2 linked regions of the Struthio camelus genome follow. The protein of the gene in region 2 interacts with the protein of the main gene of each other region in a pairwise test. Links are inferred from orthologs where the notes say so. Each region holds a gene or a part of one and is shown on either strand. Other genes may lie near its edges.

Region 1 (8,101 bases), on a different chromosome or scaffold from region 2:
CAAATATTACTTTTTAGCACACACGAGACAAACACACTTCTTCCACTTCTCTGGTGAGTACTCTAAGCAACAGGTTATTGTGGGGAGAAGCACTTTCCACTCCTCTGGAAGCCACTGGGCAGAAAGGAGTGAAGGATTCACAAAGCTATGAAGATAAGCAGGCCAAAAGCCCTGGCTTCTGATTCCGATTCCCAAGAGAGCTTAGTTATTTACATTACAGAAAAATAAGGAAAAGAATGCTGGCACAAAACCACCAGTCCAAGGTCAAACCGTTCTGAGAGGTTTCCATCCTCCACCTTTATGGCCAGTTTTTTTGAAGGCAAGAGCTAGTACCTTTCAGATCTGCAAATTCCTGACCGAAGTGTCTGATGTAGGCTCCAGTTAGAGGGGGGCTGTTTCGAAGAGACCTTTTACAGTTACTTTATTTGTACTTTCATTGAGGCCAGGTTGGTAACTTGTACATAAATATTTTATTTTTCCAAGTGATTTGTACTCAGCACTAACCATTGTCCCTTTCTCTCCACCTTTTGAAAAACTTGTCAATAGGCTATGCGCAGACTCGCTTCATGAAGAACTGCTGGTACTGTCATACCTGTGAACTCACAGCAATATTTATGCACCGGTATTATAAAAACATTTTCTGCAATGAAACCAATCTTTGCACTTGAAGAAAACCCTGATTCCTTGTCTGAATGATGCAGATCTCTAGAAATCTCCACATTTGACTACCATTATCCCTGAAATACTCCAGACTGATTCAGTGAGCAAGTTCTGACCTGATACGTTGATAAAAAAAAATCTATTACAAAAGACTTAATCAGTTTTGGAACTAGTCAGGGGGAAGGTGCATCACACCGTCACTTCAGTGTGTTCAGGAAGAAAAGCTGCTTTGTGTTAACCTAGCCCAGGGGAGTTGAAGAGACTCAAATGTTTTGATCGGAGACCTCCTGTTATGTATTTGTACAACGCCTAGCAAGAGGACAGGAGTTCTAGCTGGCCAAGGCTTTGCAGTCCTAGAACGTTAAGGTGACCACACTTGCTGACAAAACTCTTGAAAAATGCACCTCAATAGTTCTTTCCAAGCAATTCCTTGAATTGCTGCAGGTTGTTAGATAAATGAAACACAGGACAAGTGACAAAGTCACACAAACACAAAACTGTGTGCTGCACTACTATAAAACAATAATTAGGATAAATTTCAATAGAAAAGGCCCTCGGATAGTGGTTCATTAGTTCTGCATTCATCCCATTGTAGTAAATCATGCACTCCTGTTAATGAAAAATTAACAAGTATAAAAAAATCAAAAAAATCAAGTATACGCATAAGATTATTTTGGCTAGGTTATGTATCTATAGCTGATCGAGAGGCAGATCATGACATAGATTAACGAAAACCTTATTCCACAAATACGTAATGAAATTTGTAGAATGGGCTGCTACAGAATATAAGTCAGAATGTGAGCTAGTATAAGGTTTTTTAATGAATTGTAGGAGTTTAGTTAGTTTAAGGAATAGCTATTTTTTTATATAGCATATATATTTTTTAATATACTACATCAAACAGCTGCTGTTCTTCTACAGGAAACATATAGACATTTGACAGTCCATAATGCTCAAGTGCAATAATTTACACAAGACACAGGATTCAAACTGCAAAATTTTAATCCTTGATTTTAGGACTATATAAAATACATATGCAAGAAATCAATGATCTTAACTTCATCATGAAGAAACTGGTTTCAATGGAAAACAGACTGCTACCTTAAATATTTTAGCACTATCTTAATTTTTAAAATGGAGAAAAACCTGTGTGGTGAGGGAATATGTAATACCAAAAGCTTAAGAAATACAGACTCTAAAACCCCTTTAAGCTTCACCATGTGGGCCAATTAGCTTTAGTACGTTCACATATTTAAGTCTCTTTATTCAAGTATGTCAGACAAATTTTCTTGTATCACACTGCACAGAGAAGACTGTTATGTTACTGCAGGTGATGTTAATGGAAAAATCTCAGGTGAAAAGCCGAGCACTAGGTAAGTTATTCTTCTCTAAGGACCGGAGTGAACTCTTTCAAAATCAGTGAAAAAAATTCCTATAAACTTCAGTCAGTTGACCAGGATCCTTCCACAATGGGAAACTGCACCAAAGACTGTCGTCTTCATTCTCTAAATAAGACAAAAACTTCAGCCTTCATGGCACTCGGCAAAGTTTCTCATTTCAAATGCAGTAAAGGTTTGATCCTACATGATATTGATGTTCTAGTTCAAACCAGCAAAAACGCAGGCCTGCGCTTAGAGTTAGGAACGAGCAATTCTTACGTCAGACAGGCTTCTCCACAAGCTGAGAGTTAGGTATGTGTTTAAGAGCCAAATCAGACCGACCTGCACCTCCTAAGATGGAAGCATTGATTAAACTTACACTAATGCTTAGGCTCAGGCTGTGATTTGACACTTCAGGCTTTTAGGAAATAATAGCAAACACTTCCTATCTTCATTCTCTCCCCCTCCATTTGCCAGCATAACTCAGGAGGTTGGTGCTTCTGCCAACATTACTGACAAACCTTTCATATTAGGCCATGGCCTCAGTTTATATTATCCTGCATACAAGCCACTGCTGCCAATGCACGTGAATGAAGGATAAGGCCAGTAGCATGTTTCTCAGAGGATGTATTGTTCCTCTAAAGTGGATGTACATTTTATGTAAAAAGCAAAAGGAAACATTCTGCTTGGGACTGGTAAAGGAGCTTTCTGCTATTTTTAGGCAGAACAAACACCGCAGAAAAAAGTGATATTAGAAAGATAGCAGTGAATGTTTTGTCCTTGAGAGAACATCTGCACTGTGAAGTTTGAGCACAGATTCTTACTTGACAAAAATGTGGGCACAGATTATTTTCGAACCTTCTCTAGTTCTTGCCCATATAGGTATTTAGAAAAAATACATATATATATATTTTCAACAGTCTTCTAGCTTTCTTTACAAATATGACATTTTAGCTGGAATTAGTTGTAATAAAATACAATGCAACGCACTTATTTTTGGCCTGCATATTTCTTCAAGGCAAGGTTGCATTTCTTAACTTTATTATTAAAAAATATTCACCTTTCCTGAATAATAGCATTTCATATAAAGCTTACACTTGCCCAAAACAATAAAGAGCAACATGCAGAAGGCATTCAGATGCCTTTTTCAGTGAGGCAGGGAATACGTGCCTTTTAACACTCTTATCTACATATCCATCAAAATGAAGAATACCAAAATAATAGGTTTTGTAATGAAGCTGAAATTCTGTACAATTTTGTACTAATTCAGACATCCATAAGTAATGCACAAGATATATGTGATTATCTTTTTCAGCTGAATGCAGAAGTGATATTTTTATCTGCACTTGTGATTACTACCATCTTTGCACGTCAAATATTAAATTGGAGACGTATTTGTTTTTTACCCTTTTAAAAAGGCTACATTTTAAAAGTCATTATGTCCATTAACTAGAAAATAAAGTTGTGCATACTGAAAAGTTTCTCCATGCATCTGTTCTGTTTTTAAAAACTGTTCTTTTTGTGAATTCATATTATGGTGAAATAAAGTGTATTATGTAGGGATAGGTTTCTCATTTCCCTTACATCTGCCACTTATTTTAGACAACCAGCAAAGTCTCTGTACCTTCTGGGGATAAGAGAAGATACAGTAGGCTTAAATCACAGCTTTTTAATGGTAAGGCTAATTTTAAGGTAATGAGAAGAGCTGTCTGCATGGACACAAAGTCACAACCCTGGAGATTCAGCAAGACAAGCAGTCATCAGTTTTAAGTGTCTGAAGTAGAGCTGTCCCCACCTTACAACTCTGGAAGGGTTAAGAGACTTAAGCTTTACGATCCCTTTAAGCCCTATAGACTATGATTTAGTTATTTTTATATTCCTCTCCTTTCTTCAGTGCTATAAACCTGTTCTATAGACAGTCTCCCCCTTAACTGGTCAGAAGTCACAAAAAGCTAAGTTTATGAAAATATCAGAACAGTCACAGAGCTCTAGTGCTATCAAGCTTTAGGATGCACTGGAGTTTGCTGCTCCCTTAAGTCACTAACTGTTTTGTTTGTCTGGTTGGTTTTTAAGTAATCCTGACTACGGGATTGCTCTGAGCGCAAGGAATTTGTCCCGTCTCTGGTAAGACTTAAGGCAGCTCATCAGCAGCTGACAGAGCCCAACGTGGCTTCAAGCCCGGCGACTCGCCCAGCTTCTTCAGAAACGGGCAGCAGGCGCGGCATGCCGCCGCGCCGCCCGCAGGCAGGGCGGCCGCAGCCCCCGCGCACAAAGCCCGGCCTCCTCCGTGCTGTTTCCCCCTCCTCCACGAAGGCGCACGTTCACGTCCGTGTTTCCAGGGCCTTTGGAAGCCCGCGCAGGGCAGCGAGCTGCGGCCTCAGGGGGGCCCAGGGCGGCGCGCAGCGCAGGCCGAGCCGCCCGCCGGCAGAGCGCGGCGCCTGAGCGGACCGCACGGAACCTCCCCGCCGCCCCGGGCAGCGCCAGGGCCGCGGCCGGAGCCGGGCGAGGGCCGCGCCGCCCCGGGAAAGCCCCGCGCAGGGCGGCCAGGCCCCTCTCCGCCAACCCGCCGCCATCCCCGCAGGCACCCCATGGCGCATGCGCAGCCCTACCAAGGTGTGGGGGGAGAACCTCGAGGCAGCAGGCCGCCAGCCGCTATCCCAGCGGGCGCTGCGGCAGCACGGCGCTCCCCCACCGCCTTCTCGCGGTGCCTGCTGGGAAAGAGAGGCGCCAGTTACGGCTCGGCGCCGCTTCGCCAGACCCCCGCCGCTTCGCCGCCGGCTCCGCCGCGCCCTCGGTGTCTCGCAGTCGCTCCGCAGAGACGCGCCGAGCGCTGCGCCGCGGACTTATCCCTAGAGCGCCCTTTTTCACGCCCGCCTCCCGGCAACTTCCGCTTCCGGCCCCACCCTTCCGCTCCCACAGTGCCCCGCGCCGAATCATGGACCACAATGGTGAGGAGGGGAGAGGCCGGGAGACCCATTTATACCCGTCCCCGACCGGGCCCGCTCCGCGCCGGCGGGCGGCGAGCGGCCGCGGTCGGGGCCGCCGGGCTGGGGGCGGTGCGAGGGTGGTGGGGACGCGGCCCGGCGCCCGGTAACGCGGGCGGGGCCTGAGGTTCGCCGCCGTTCGCCGCGGCCCGCGCGGCGGGGCCTGGTCGTTCCCTTCCGCGCCCGCCGCCGCCGCGGTCTCGCGCCCTCCAACGGTCCTGCGGCGCGCGCGGGGCTGCCCTGACCCCCCCCCCCCCAACCCGCGCGCGCGAGCGGCCCAACGGCCGCCTCGGCGGCGCCCCGTGGCCAGGGGAGGCGGGGGCGCTGGCCACGGCCCCGGCCGGCGAGCGGCGGCGGCCTCGGCGCAGCCTCGGGCTTGAGCGCGGCGGCCGCCGGGCGCCAGCGGGCCGTGTGGCCGGAGCCTGCGGGCTTGCAGCAGGTGGAGGCGGCCCGTGGCGCTCGGGAGGTGGGAAAGAGGCGCTCGTTTCCCGAGATCGGTGCCGATGATGTCTTTTCTGCTTCCCGGATCGCGCTCCGGAGATTCTCGGGCGTTTTCTTATGTCGCGCGTGAAATTTGTTCTTGTAGCGTTGATGTTTTGCTCGTTGGTATGCTGGCGTAATCTAATGAATACATAAGTAGATGACTTTTTTTTTTCCTTTAGGAATGACTGCGCTATAAGCACATATAGTATAGTATTCCAACTATATTTATAAATTAAAAAACAAAAGCTTAGAGTACAAAAAAAAGCTTCAGAGAAGCTGATGGAGACGACAACTTAAGAGAGTGTCTCACTTTTCATCGTATCTTCTCAAATAGTCTAAACAACTTTGCTACGTTTTTCATATTTTTTTCTTGACTTATTCCTGCTAGTTATGCTTACACGAACTTGAGGTTATCGTTCTCCTATGAAATAGGAATGACTAATACACTTGTTCGTTTGGATTAGTTGAGCAACTAAGTCACGTAAATATTCCTAGCTTGCAAAGGTATATGGAAGAGAAGTATCAGAACTCCATTTTCTCCTGTTTTTGGTTCAGTGGACTAAATGAGGTAAAAAAATTTCTGTTTTTAAAACTTATTTTAATTGTTCCCATTTGTAAAAGAATTGAAGTCCTGCAGAGACCTTTTTGGTCTCTAGTGTAGTGCCTTTGTGTGTTCAATTCAAGATTGTTTCCTCTCATTCTGCCCCAGTAGCACTGTTTGCCTTAGGTTTTCTGTTAGAGGACTAGTGATTAGTCTCAGAACTTTTGTAACAGAAAACAGAACTTCCAGCTCATGGAACGTCAACAGCTCTAGCATTATTGTCTCTGATGTTCTAGTCTAACTGCCTCTGGGTAAGCCTTGTATTTGAGTTGCATGTTTGCTGGATCATCTGTTTAGCCAACAGGATGGCCTAAACTCCCCCAAATTAACAAAAGTAAAAGCAAGCTTTATTGCCTTTGCTATTTTTACATTTTGCCTTTTAGATTGAAACGTGTCAACCACAGTACTAAGAAATAAATAGACTTGACCCAAAGAAAATTGGCGTTCTTGATTTTGAGGTAAAGTAACTGCTAGGGCGCAGTCCCAACTTGCAACTTGTCTCAGTTCCTAGTTTTGATATTAGCTGCTGAATGACTTTGAGCAAGTCCTCATTAACCTTTTTTTTTCTGTTTCTCCTTCTTCTTGTTGTGTTGTATATGGAGATTATAAGCTTTGAGGGACAGTAGTTGTTTATGTGAGGTATTGTGCAGTGTTACACTCCCTGGACCTAATTCCAGTGTCCAGATGCTTCCCTGTTGCAATGCTTTGGAGCCGCAGTAGTCATGCCAGAGCTGTAGTGCCGTATCTGAGGTTGAACAGTAGGGCTCACTCTATAATAGCTTGTGGCACTCTCCTTGGGGGCTGAGAAGGTCCCACTTTTAAACATTACCAGCTGATGCTAACCCCTCTCTTGACAGACCAGAAGTGACAAGGATGTTAAATATTTGTGTCCCTATCTTTCCAGCTACAAACATGGACAGGACTTGCACTGGAAATATTTTGCAAGGGGGACAAACCCAAAACCCAGCCCTCCAAAATGCCAAGACATGCAAGAGAGTTCCTAATGAAATTTTTGATTGCTTGTGTTTGAAAACATAAGTTTAGCTGCTGTGTTCCTGCTCATGGTCTTGCATGTCTGTCTATCCTGTAATGGATGTTGAGTTAAAGGCTTATAAATATGAGTCTAGTAATGATTTTATAGAAGTTTTATTTTTTATTACAAAGAGCTGATGGGCATGTACATTGATAGAATAGCGTGATGTGTCAATTTGTGAGACATCTTTTATGTTTGTATAAATGAGATGCTATATAGTGGGTTAAGGTAGACTTACTGAAAGTTGGGAAGGTGTGTGAATTGTACCCCTTCATGTTGTCTGAGTGTTGCCTGTTACAGTACTGACTCCTAGATTATGCATTCAGGCCCATATCTACACGTGTGTGTTGAACTGTTGCTTTCTTCCTTTGCCCTGGTACTCAGATTTAAAACTGGTTAAAGAGAATTCTGTATAGGAGGGAGTGCTAATTTTTAATTTAGCAAAGATATTACTGTGTACTGTAAGCATCAATATTTTTTTGGTGCTTTGCACTGAACTCCCAAGTGATATGTGAAGTTGCTAAGAGTTAGCATGGAAACTAGTTTCCTTCCAGCTTGCTTAGTAAACAAGTTGTGTAGATTTTCTTGTGAGAAAAGGTCATTTTTATTGTTTGCATAATCAAGGTTGTATAAAGAGTTGTATTCAACCTGTGATAGGAGCAGTACAATAGTTGACAGTCATTTTCCTGTTATGGAGAGCGGACAGGCTATCTCTGACAGACAAGCTACTTTTAATAAAATAACGTTATTTCTAAAACTACATTTCCCAAGATCACAGTTGTTCCCCAAACAATTTTGTGACCTGATTTCTAGAAGAAATCATGTGTGAAGAGATTTAAGATCATTTTCTAGTGGATAAACTTTGGTGTGTTTTATGAGTCTTAAACAAGCCTTAATGATTATTTTGCTTAAATTTTTTCTGTGAATATTTAACCTCTTTATAGACTGTTAAATAACTGAA
Region 2 (7,919 bases):
CCCCACACTGGCTGCATGCAGCGAGTGCTCAGTGCTCAGCACCCAGCACCCACCCCCACATTGGCTGCATGCAGCAAGTGCTCAGCACCCAGCCCCACAGTGGCTGCGTGCAGCGAGTGCTCAGTGCTCAGCACCTGGCCCTGTACTGGCTGCATGCAGTGAGTGCTCAGCACCCAGCACCCACCCCCACACTGGCTGCATGCAGTGAGTGCTCAGCACCCAGCCCCACAGTGGCTGTGTGCAGTGAGTGCTCAGCACCCAGCACCCAGCCCCACACTGGCTGCATGTAGTGAGTGCTCAGCACCCAGCACCTTGCCCCACACTGGCTGCATGTAGTGAGTGCAGTGCTCAGCACACAGCACCTGGCCCTGCAGTGGCTGCATGCAGCGAGTTGCACAGTGCTCAGCACCCAGCACTTGGCCCTGCAGTAGCTGTATGCAGCGAGTGCAGTGCTCAGCACCTGGCCCTGTACTGGCTGCATGCAGCAAGTGCTCAGCATCCAGCACCCAGCCCCACAGTGGCTGCGTGCAGTGAGTGCTCAGTGCTCAGCACCCACCCCCGCACTGGCTGCATGCAGTGAGTGCTCAGCACCCAGCCCCACAGCGGCTGCATGCAGTGAGTGCTCAGTGCTCAGCACCCACGACCTGGCCCTGCACCAGCTGGCTGCGGCGAGCACGCAGCGCTCAGCGCCCGCTCGGCCCCCCTTCCCGCCCCGGCCGTGTGCACAACCTGTTTTTCCAGCTCCCGGCTGGAAGAAACCTCCCTCGCAGCCCAGCCGGATCGCCGCCGGGGCAGGGGGCCGCGGCCGGGCGGCGCGGCGGCTCTGGCGCTGGCGAGGGGGGGCGGGGGGGGGGGCGGTGCAGCACCCGGCTCCCACGCTTCGCCCACCACCCCCGGGGAGCCCAAAAATCGCCGAGGCGCCTGCCAGGGACCCGGCTTGGCCCGGCCGCGCTGCCCGCCCGGCGCTCCCCGACGCGCGGGGGCCGAGGGACCCCCGCCGGGGCTCCCCGGCGCCCCTCAGCCCGGCGGAGGGCCACGCGCGCCCCGCTTCCGCCGGCGGCACGGCCGGGCGCCAGCCGCGCCGGGGGGCTTGCGCAAGGGCGGCCGCGGCGGCGCCCGGCTGACGTCACCCCCAGTTTCGCCCTGACTTCAGACTTTCGAGGTTTCACCCACCCGGGGCTGAGTCAGCAGCGCCCCCGCGCCGGGCCGCGGCTCCCCGGGGACCGCCGCCGCGCTACGGCCTGGCACGACGCAGCCGGCGGCGCCGGGCAGCTTTCGCCGGGGGGAAACCGCCTCTCCCTCGGTGGGGAGCTTCCCGCCAGCCCCGCTCGGCCCCGGCGGAGGCGGCAAGCCGAGGACGCGTCCGGCGCGGCCCCCGCTCGGCGCAGGTGTCCCTCCGTCCTGCCCCGGCCAGGCCCTATCCGGACCCGCCGCGGGGCGGAAAACCCCAGGTGCCGCTCGCCAGCCGGCCGCAGCGCTCCCTCCTCGCCCCCGGCCCCAGCGCCAAGCTGGGAGCGCCGGCGCGGGAAAGCGGGGCCGGCCGCGGCTCCGGGGAGCGGGCCAGCCGAGCGCCTTCGTTAATGATCAGCCACAAAGCTAACGAGCCTGGCATTCGCGAGGGGCGACGGCTTGGCCGGGGCCGAGGGCGGTTTTGGGAGCCCCGCCGCGCGGCGGGCCAGCCTTCGCCCCGGCCAAACCGGAGCACACGGCGGCGCGGGGCGAAAGCGCCGGGAGCCGGCGCTCGGCGCGGCATGGCCACCCCGGCGCCGGGAGAAGCAGGGCGTCGGGGGCTTGGGGGCCACTCGGGGATGCTCGCAATGAGAGTTTGTGGAGGCAGCGGCTGGGGCGCCCGCCCTGCCGGGACAGGTATTTCGCGTCGGCGCGGCCTGCCGAGGCACGGCCTCGACGCCGGCCCCTCCGCGGGCGCCGCAGCAGGGGCCCGGCGGGCTCCGGGGGCCGCGAAACGCGGCAGGTGCCCCGGCGCGGCCCCCCGCCCAGGCCTGCCCGCCCCGACAGGTCTGCGTGCCTGAGTCAGCGCCCGCCGCCCCGGCGCTCCCGGCGAAAGGGCAGCCCGCCCGGCGCCTCCGCTCCTTAACGCTTTCGTGGCGGTGGTGGAGCTGCCCCGGCTCTGCCCCCATCGCCACCGTGGAGCCGTGCACCGCCGTGGGCACCGCGCAGGGCATCCGGGCACACGGCCCCGGCTCTGCCCCCGTCGCCACCGTGGAGCCATGCATCGCTGTGGGCACCATGCAGGGTGTCCGGGCACATGGCCCCGGCTCTGCCCCCATTGCCAACGCGGAGCCGTGCACTGCCGTGGGCACCGCACCGGGCACCCGGCTGCCCTCCATGGCCCCGGTCGCCCTCGGAGCCGTGCACCACCGTGGGCACCGCGCGGGGTGTCCGGGCACACGGCCCCGGCTCTGCCCCCATCGCCCTCGGAGCCGTGCACCACCGTGGGCACCACGCAGGGCATCCGGGCACACGGCCCCGGCTCTGCCCCCGTCACCACCGTGGAGCCGTGCACCACCGTGGGCACCACGCAGGGCATCCGGGCACACGGCCCCGGCTCTGCCCCCGTCGCCACCGCGGAGCCGTGCACCACCGTGGGCACCGCGCGGGGTGTCCGGCCGCACCGTCGCGGCTCCGCGGCCCCGGCCGCCCTCGGAGCCGTGCACGACCGTGGACGCCGCGCGGGGCAGCCGGCCGCGTGGCCGTGGGAACCCGCGCGTCCCGCCCACGCGCCCCGCGCGCCTCGGCCGCCCACGCCGCCGCCGTCGCGCCTTACCTCGGCCCAGGGCTCTGCCCGCCGCCGCCCCGTCCGGCCGCCCGGCGAAGGCGAAGGTCCCGGCGGCGAAGCCGGGCTGGCAGGAGCCGCGCAGCCCGCTCCCGGCCTGCCACGAGAGAGCCGTCAGCCCCCGCCCGTCCCGCCCGTCCCGTCCCGTCCCGTCCGTCCCGTCCCGTCCCTCACCTGGAGCAGCAGCAGCAGGAGGAGGAGGAGGAGGAAGAGGCACAGCGGGGCCGGGCAGCCCCGCCGCGGCCCCATGGCGCGGCCGAGCTCGGGGGTGCGGAGCCGGCGGCGGAGCGGAGCGCACTGCAGCCCGCAGGTGGGTCGCGGCCCGCCCCGTCCCGGCCCGCCCCGCAGGTGCCGGCCCCGTCGGGAGGCGGTGCCGCCCCGGTCCGCCCCCCCGGGAGCCCTGGGCCGGCTGTGAGAGCTCCCCGAGGGCCGCTGGGGTGTGCGTGGGGGGGGGGGTCTGAGGACCCCCGGGATGGTTCGCAGGTGTCCTGCGAAATCCGTGGGCGCCCTGGGAAGGCTGCGGGCGCTTCGCGGGGTCCCCGGGGCTCTGCACGGTCCCCGGGAGCATCACGGGCTCCTTCGGAAACCCTGGGGCTGCTTTTGGTGGTCCAAGAGGGCCGCGGGGAGCCTGGGAGGGCTGTGGGTGCCCCGGGAAGCCCGTAGGCGTCATGGCTGGGTGGGGGGGCTGTGGGTGCCCTATGGATGCTGGAGGAAATCCGTGAGCGCCCTGGAGCCCCGGGAGGGCCGAGGGCACCCCGGGAGGTACCCAGGGGACGGAGGGGCCGGCGGCTCCCCCGCGCCTCCGGCGAGCAGGGGACAAAGTCCGGCCGAGCACGAGCAAACAGCGCGGCGGTAAACAGCAGCGCGGGGAGGGGGGGGACGGCGCCGCCACGCAGCCCCGCAGAAACTTAAAAACCAAGAACAAACCAAAAAAAAAAAAAAAAAGGGCCTCCTTTATTTAAAAGTTGCACCAGAACCCGCTCACCCCGCGTTTAGCATCGCGCTAGCTTTATTTCCTAGTCAAAAACAAAAGGAGAAAGGGAGAGGAGGAAGCCAAGGGCACTTCGGGGGGGGGGGGGGCACGGCCCCAAGGCCTGGCCCGGGGGCGGCGGGGGGCTCTAGTCGTCCTCCTCGCCGCCGCCGTAGAGGTCCGCCAGCTTCTTGAAGCGGTTGCCCCAGTCGTGGAGGTAGTCGTAGTCCTGGTCGCGGTCGGAGGCGGAGGAGTGGAGGGAGCTGAGCGAGGTGGCCTCCGAGCCGCTGCCCTCGTAGTCGAACACCAGCAGCGAGTCGTAGGGGGGGGCCGTGGGGTCCGTGTCGGCCGCCTTCAGGTTCTGGGGGCAGAGAGGGGCAGCGTGGGCCGGGGCTCGGCGGGGCGGCCCGCGCAGGTGGGTGGGCGAGCGGGCGGCGGGGACTCACCTCGTCGATGAAGTTGCCAATCTCGTCGGGGTTGGCGGGCCGGGGCCGGTACTGGGGGGCCGCCATCAGTGGGGGGGCCACGTCGTTGCGGATGACCTCGGGGCGGGCATCCAGCCCCCGGTGCAGCTGGCTCAGATCATAGTCCTGCACGGGGCCGGGACGGGGGGGGGGGTGAAGGCGGACGGCGGCCGTGCCGCGTCCCCCCCACCCCTCCAACGCCGCGCACCCACCTGGTCCTCCTCGCCGCCGCCCTCCTCGCCGTAGCAAAACACGTTGTCCCGCGTGTCGTCCTCGGGCGGCAGCAGCGGCGGCTCCTTGGCCGCCCTCCTCCTCCTCCTGCCTCCGAGCAGCAGCAGCAGCAGCAGCAGGACTGCGGCAGAGGCGCGGGGTGAGGACGGGGCGCCCGGCCCCCCGCCGCCCCCCGCCGCCCCCCGCCGCCCCACGCTCACGCAGCAAAGCCAGGAGGGCGCCCAGCGCTGCCAGCACCAGGGGAGCAGCGGCGGCGGCGGGGGGGGCCGGCGGCCGGGGGCAGCTCTCGGCGTGCCCCTCGCAGTCGCAGACCCGGGCGGCCAGCACGGTGAGCTGCTCCCTGCCGCGGCCGTCGAAGAGGCGCAGGTAGACGCTGTAGAGGGCCTGCTGCAGCGGCGCCGTCAGCCGCAGCGTCACCGTGTCTGCGGGACAGGCGGTCAGGCGGGGGCGGCGGGGGGGGACGACACACACACGCCGCCCGGCCGCCCTCACCCTCGCCGCTGACTTCGGCGGCCCAGCTGTCGGCCGAGCCGTGGGCCAGCTCGGCCCGGAAAGGCGCCGCGTTGGGCGGCAGGTCCCGGTCGACGATGGCCAGGACCTGAGGCCGGGGGCTGCGGTTGCAGACGACGACGTCCCGGGGCCGGGGCTCGGGGCCGTGGTCGTTCACGTCGAGCAGGGTGAGGAGCAGGGTGCCGGTGCCGGTGGCCGGCGGCGAGCCTGCGGGAGGAGCCACGCTGCCCACGAGGGTCCCGGGCGCCGCCGGGTGCACCCGCCGCGGCCGCGCGGGGCCTTCCTCACCGTCGTCCTCGGCCAGCAGCACGGCCGCGTAGGTGCTGTCCCTGGCGAAGGGGGCCTCGCGGTCCAGCGGGGCGCGCGCCGTGACGAGCCCGCTCTCCGGGTGCACGGCCAGCCAGCCCGCCGGGTCGCTGCCCAGCCGGTACCTGCGCGGCGAGACGGCGCCGTGGCGGACACCGGCGACGGGGCCGGGTCCCAGCATCGGCGGCGGCGCCACCGCCGCTCACCTGAGGCGCTGGCCCCGCGCGCGGTCGGGGTCGCGGGCCGTGTAGGCGGCCACGGCGTGGCCCAGCGGCACGTCCTCCGGCACGCGGGCCGCCAGCGCCGGCGGCTCGAAGGCGGGCGCCTCGTTCACGTCCTCCACGCCGACCGCCACCGTGGCCGTGGCCGCCGGCAGCTTCACGGCGAAGGGCGCCGCGTTGGCCACGGCCACGTGCAGCACGAACTGCCCCCTGGCCTCGTAGTCCAGAGCCTGGGAGAGGGGACGGGCATCATCGCCATCGGCATCGCCCCAGCCGGCGGCGGTGGCGGGGCGCCCGCACGCACCTTGGCGGTGCTGAGGACGCCCTCGTTGCTGGCGGGGTCCGTGGCGATGGCGAAGGCGCCTCCCTCGTCGCCGCCCACGATGGTGTAGACAGCCCGCCACGCCGGCGTGTTCGGCTCGTCCAGGTCCGTCACGGCCAGCCGGGCCACTTCCCGCCCGGCCTCGTTCTCCGGCACGGCCGCCGCGTACTGCGGGGCCCGGCGGTGCTGAGAGCCCGGGCCCCCCGCGCCGCTGCCGGCCCGTCCTGCACCCGCAGCGACCGCCCGGCCCGGGGCCCCGGCTGCAGCGGGCACAATCCTCACCCCCCCCCCCCACGCACGACCCTCATTGCTCCCCCCATGCCCGTGCACGAGCCTCATCCCCCCGTGCACGAGCCTCATTGCTCCCCCCATCCCCGTGCACGAGCCTCATCCCCCCGTGCACGAGCCTCATTGCTCCCTCCATCCCCGTGCACGAGCCTCACTCCCCCGTGCACGAGCCTCATTGCTCCCCCCATCCCCGTGCACGAGCCTCATCCCCCCGTGCACGAGCCTCATTGCTCCCTCCATCCCCGTGCACGAGCCTCATCCCCCCGTGCACGAGGCTGGTCTCCCCCCCGCCATGCACAAGGCCAGTCCCCCAGCCCGGGGGGGGGGACAAGGGTCCCCCTCCAGCCCTGGGGCTCCATGCTACCGTTTTGGGGTCAAACTCAGGCGCGTTGTCATTGACGTCGGTGATCTCGATGACGGCCAGCGCCGTGGTGGTGAGCCCGTCGCCGTCCAGGTCGGCCGCCTGCACGGTCAGCGTGTACTCCCGCACGCGCTGCGAGCGGGCAGACAGACACCGTGAGCCCCGCGGCGGCCCACGCGGTGCCCCAAGCCCCCGGCGCCTGGCGCCCACCTCGCGGTCCAGCCCGCTGGCGATGACGCCGATGGTGCCCGTGGCCCTGTTGATGGTGAACATCTGGCGGTGGGGCTCCCGCGGCTCCTGGCTGAGGATGGAGTAGGCGATGACGCCGTTGTAGGTCTCCACGGCGTCGTCGGCGTCCGTGGCGTTCACGGGCATCACGGGGGTGCCTGGAGGGATGCGGCACCCGCGTCAGCGGGGACGGGCACCCACATCCCCCGGGGGATGGTCCCCGGGGTGCCGCGGTCGGGCGCCTACCTGGCAAAGCGCCCTCCGGCACCGAGCCCCTGAACACCTCCTGGGTGAACCGGGGCTTGTTGTCATTCTGGTCCGTCACCGTGATGATGATCTCCATGGGCTCCTCCACGGGCTGCCCGTTCTCGGACACGGCGTGGGAGAAGAGCTGCGGGGACGCAGGGGTGAGCGGCCCCGCGGCGCCGGCCAGCGCGGCGCCCAGCGTCCCCCCGGCCACCACCTACGTGGTACTTGTCTATGTGCTCCCGGTCCAGCGGCTGCGTCACCTTCATCCAGCCCGTCTCCTTCTCGATGGTGAAGACGCCCTCGGGAGGGGTGTCCGCCCCCTGCCCCGTGATGCTGTAGAAGATCTTTGTCTCTCTGTCCCGGTTGGATTTGATCTGGGTGGGGAGACGCAGCCCGGATGCAAGGGGGATGGGCACAGCCAGCATCTCACTGTGCCCTCAATGCGCAGACCCATGCACAAAGCTCAGGACCCCCCTGCCCCGATGCAAGGGGGATGGGCACAGTCGATGTCTCGCCCTGCCCAGGGCACATGCATCCCCACCAAGACCCAATACCCCTGCCCAGACAGACGCCTTCCATACCTGAACCAGCTTTTTGGGGAACGGGCCCCTCTCATTTTCGGGAACCTTGATGGGAGGGATCACCCAGTCCCTCTTCTGCCTCCTCAGAGGAGAGCGGGGCCCGGGGAGCGCCGGCACGTCGGCCTGGGGTCCCGCGCCAGCCTCCTGCGGAGAGGGGAAGGCCGGTGAGGTGCAGGGCACGCGGGCGCCCGCGCGGGGTGGGGGCCCCGGGGGCCGGGAGCGTTACCTGCGGGGAGCACCCGCTCAGCGCGGTGAGCAGGACAGAGATGCGCTGGCCGGCGCCATCCCCGGCAGACGTCCTGCCGGCCCCGGGCAGCCACGCGGGGCGTCTCGCCACCGCCGTCCCGTCCAGCAGCACCCCGGAGTCGAGGTCCCCCGTCTCATGCTGCACCGG

Evidence for each region.
Region 1: the proteins of CDH1 (region 2) and CBLL1 interact in a two-hybrid assay, tested with the Homo sapiens proteins (2 studies listed by BioGRID, with this or other methods). The link is inferred for Struthio camelus from reciprocal best matches to the Homo sapiens genes CDH1 and CBLL1.

The regions. Positions count from the first base shown.
Region 1 is NC_090942.1:16,396,269-16,404,369, forward strand, and holds the start of CBLL1 (E3 ubiquitin-protein ligase Hakai), read left to right. Parts: upstream 1-4,609; 5' UTR 4,610-4,974; coding exon 4,975-4,987; intron 4,988-5,684; exon of another isoform or gene 5,685-6,074; intron 6,075-6,490; exon of another isoform or gene 6,491-6,565; intron 6,566-8,101. Other genes in the region: SLC26A4 (pendrin), read left to right, coding at 547-570. UniProt on the Homo sapiens protein: E3 ubiquitin-protein ligase that mediates ubiquitination of several tyrosine-phosphorylated Src substrates, including CDH1, CTTN and DOK1. Targets CDH1 for endocytosis and degradation.
Region 2 is NC_090951.1:1,732,156-1,740,074, forward strand, and holds the start of CDH1 (cadherin-1), read right to left. Parts: upstream 3,139-7,919; 5' UTR 3,044-3,138; coding exon 2,969-3,043; intron 2,892-2,968; coding exon 2,786-2,891; intron 1-2,785. Other genes in the region: B-cadherin-like, read right to left, coding at 3,913-4,125, 4,211-4,354, 4,441-4,580, 4,660-4,881, 4,952-5,176, 5,258-5,400, 5,482-5,726, 5,801-5,986 and 6 more.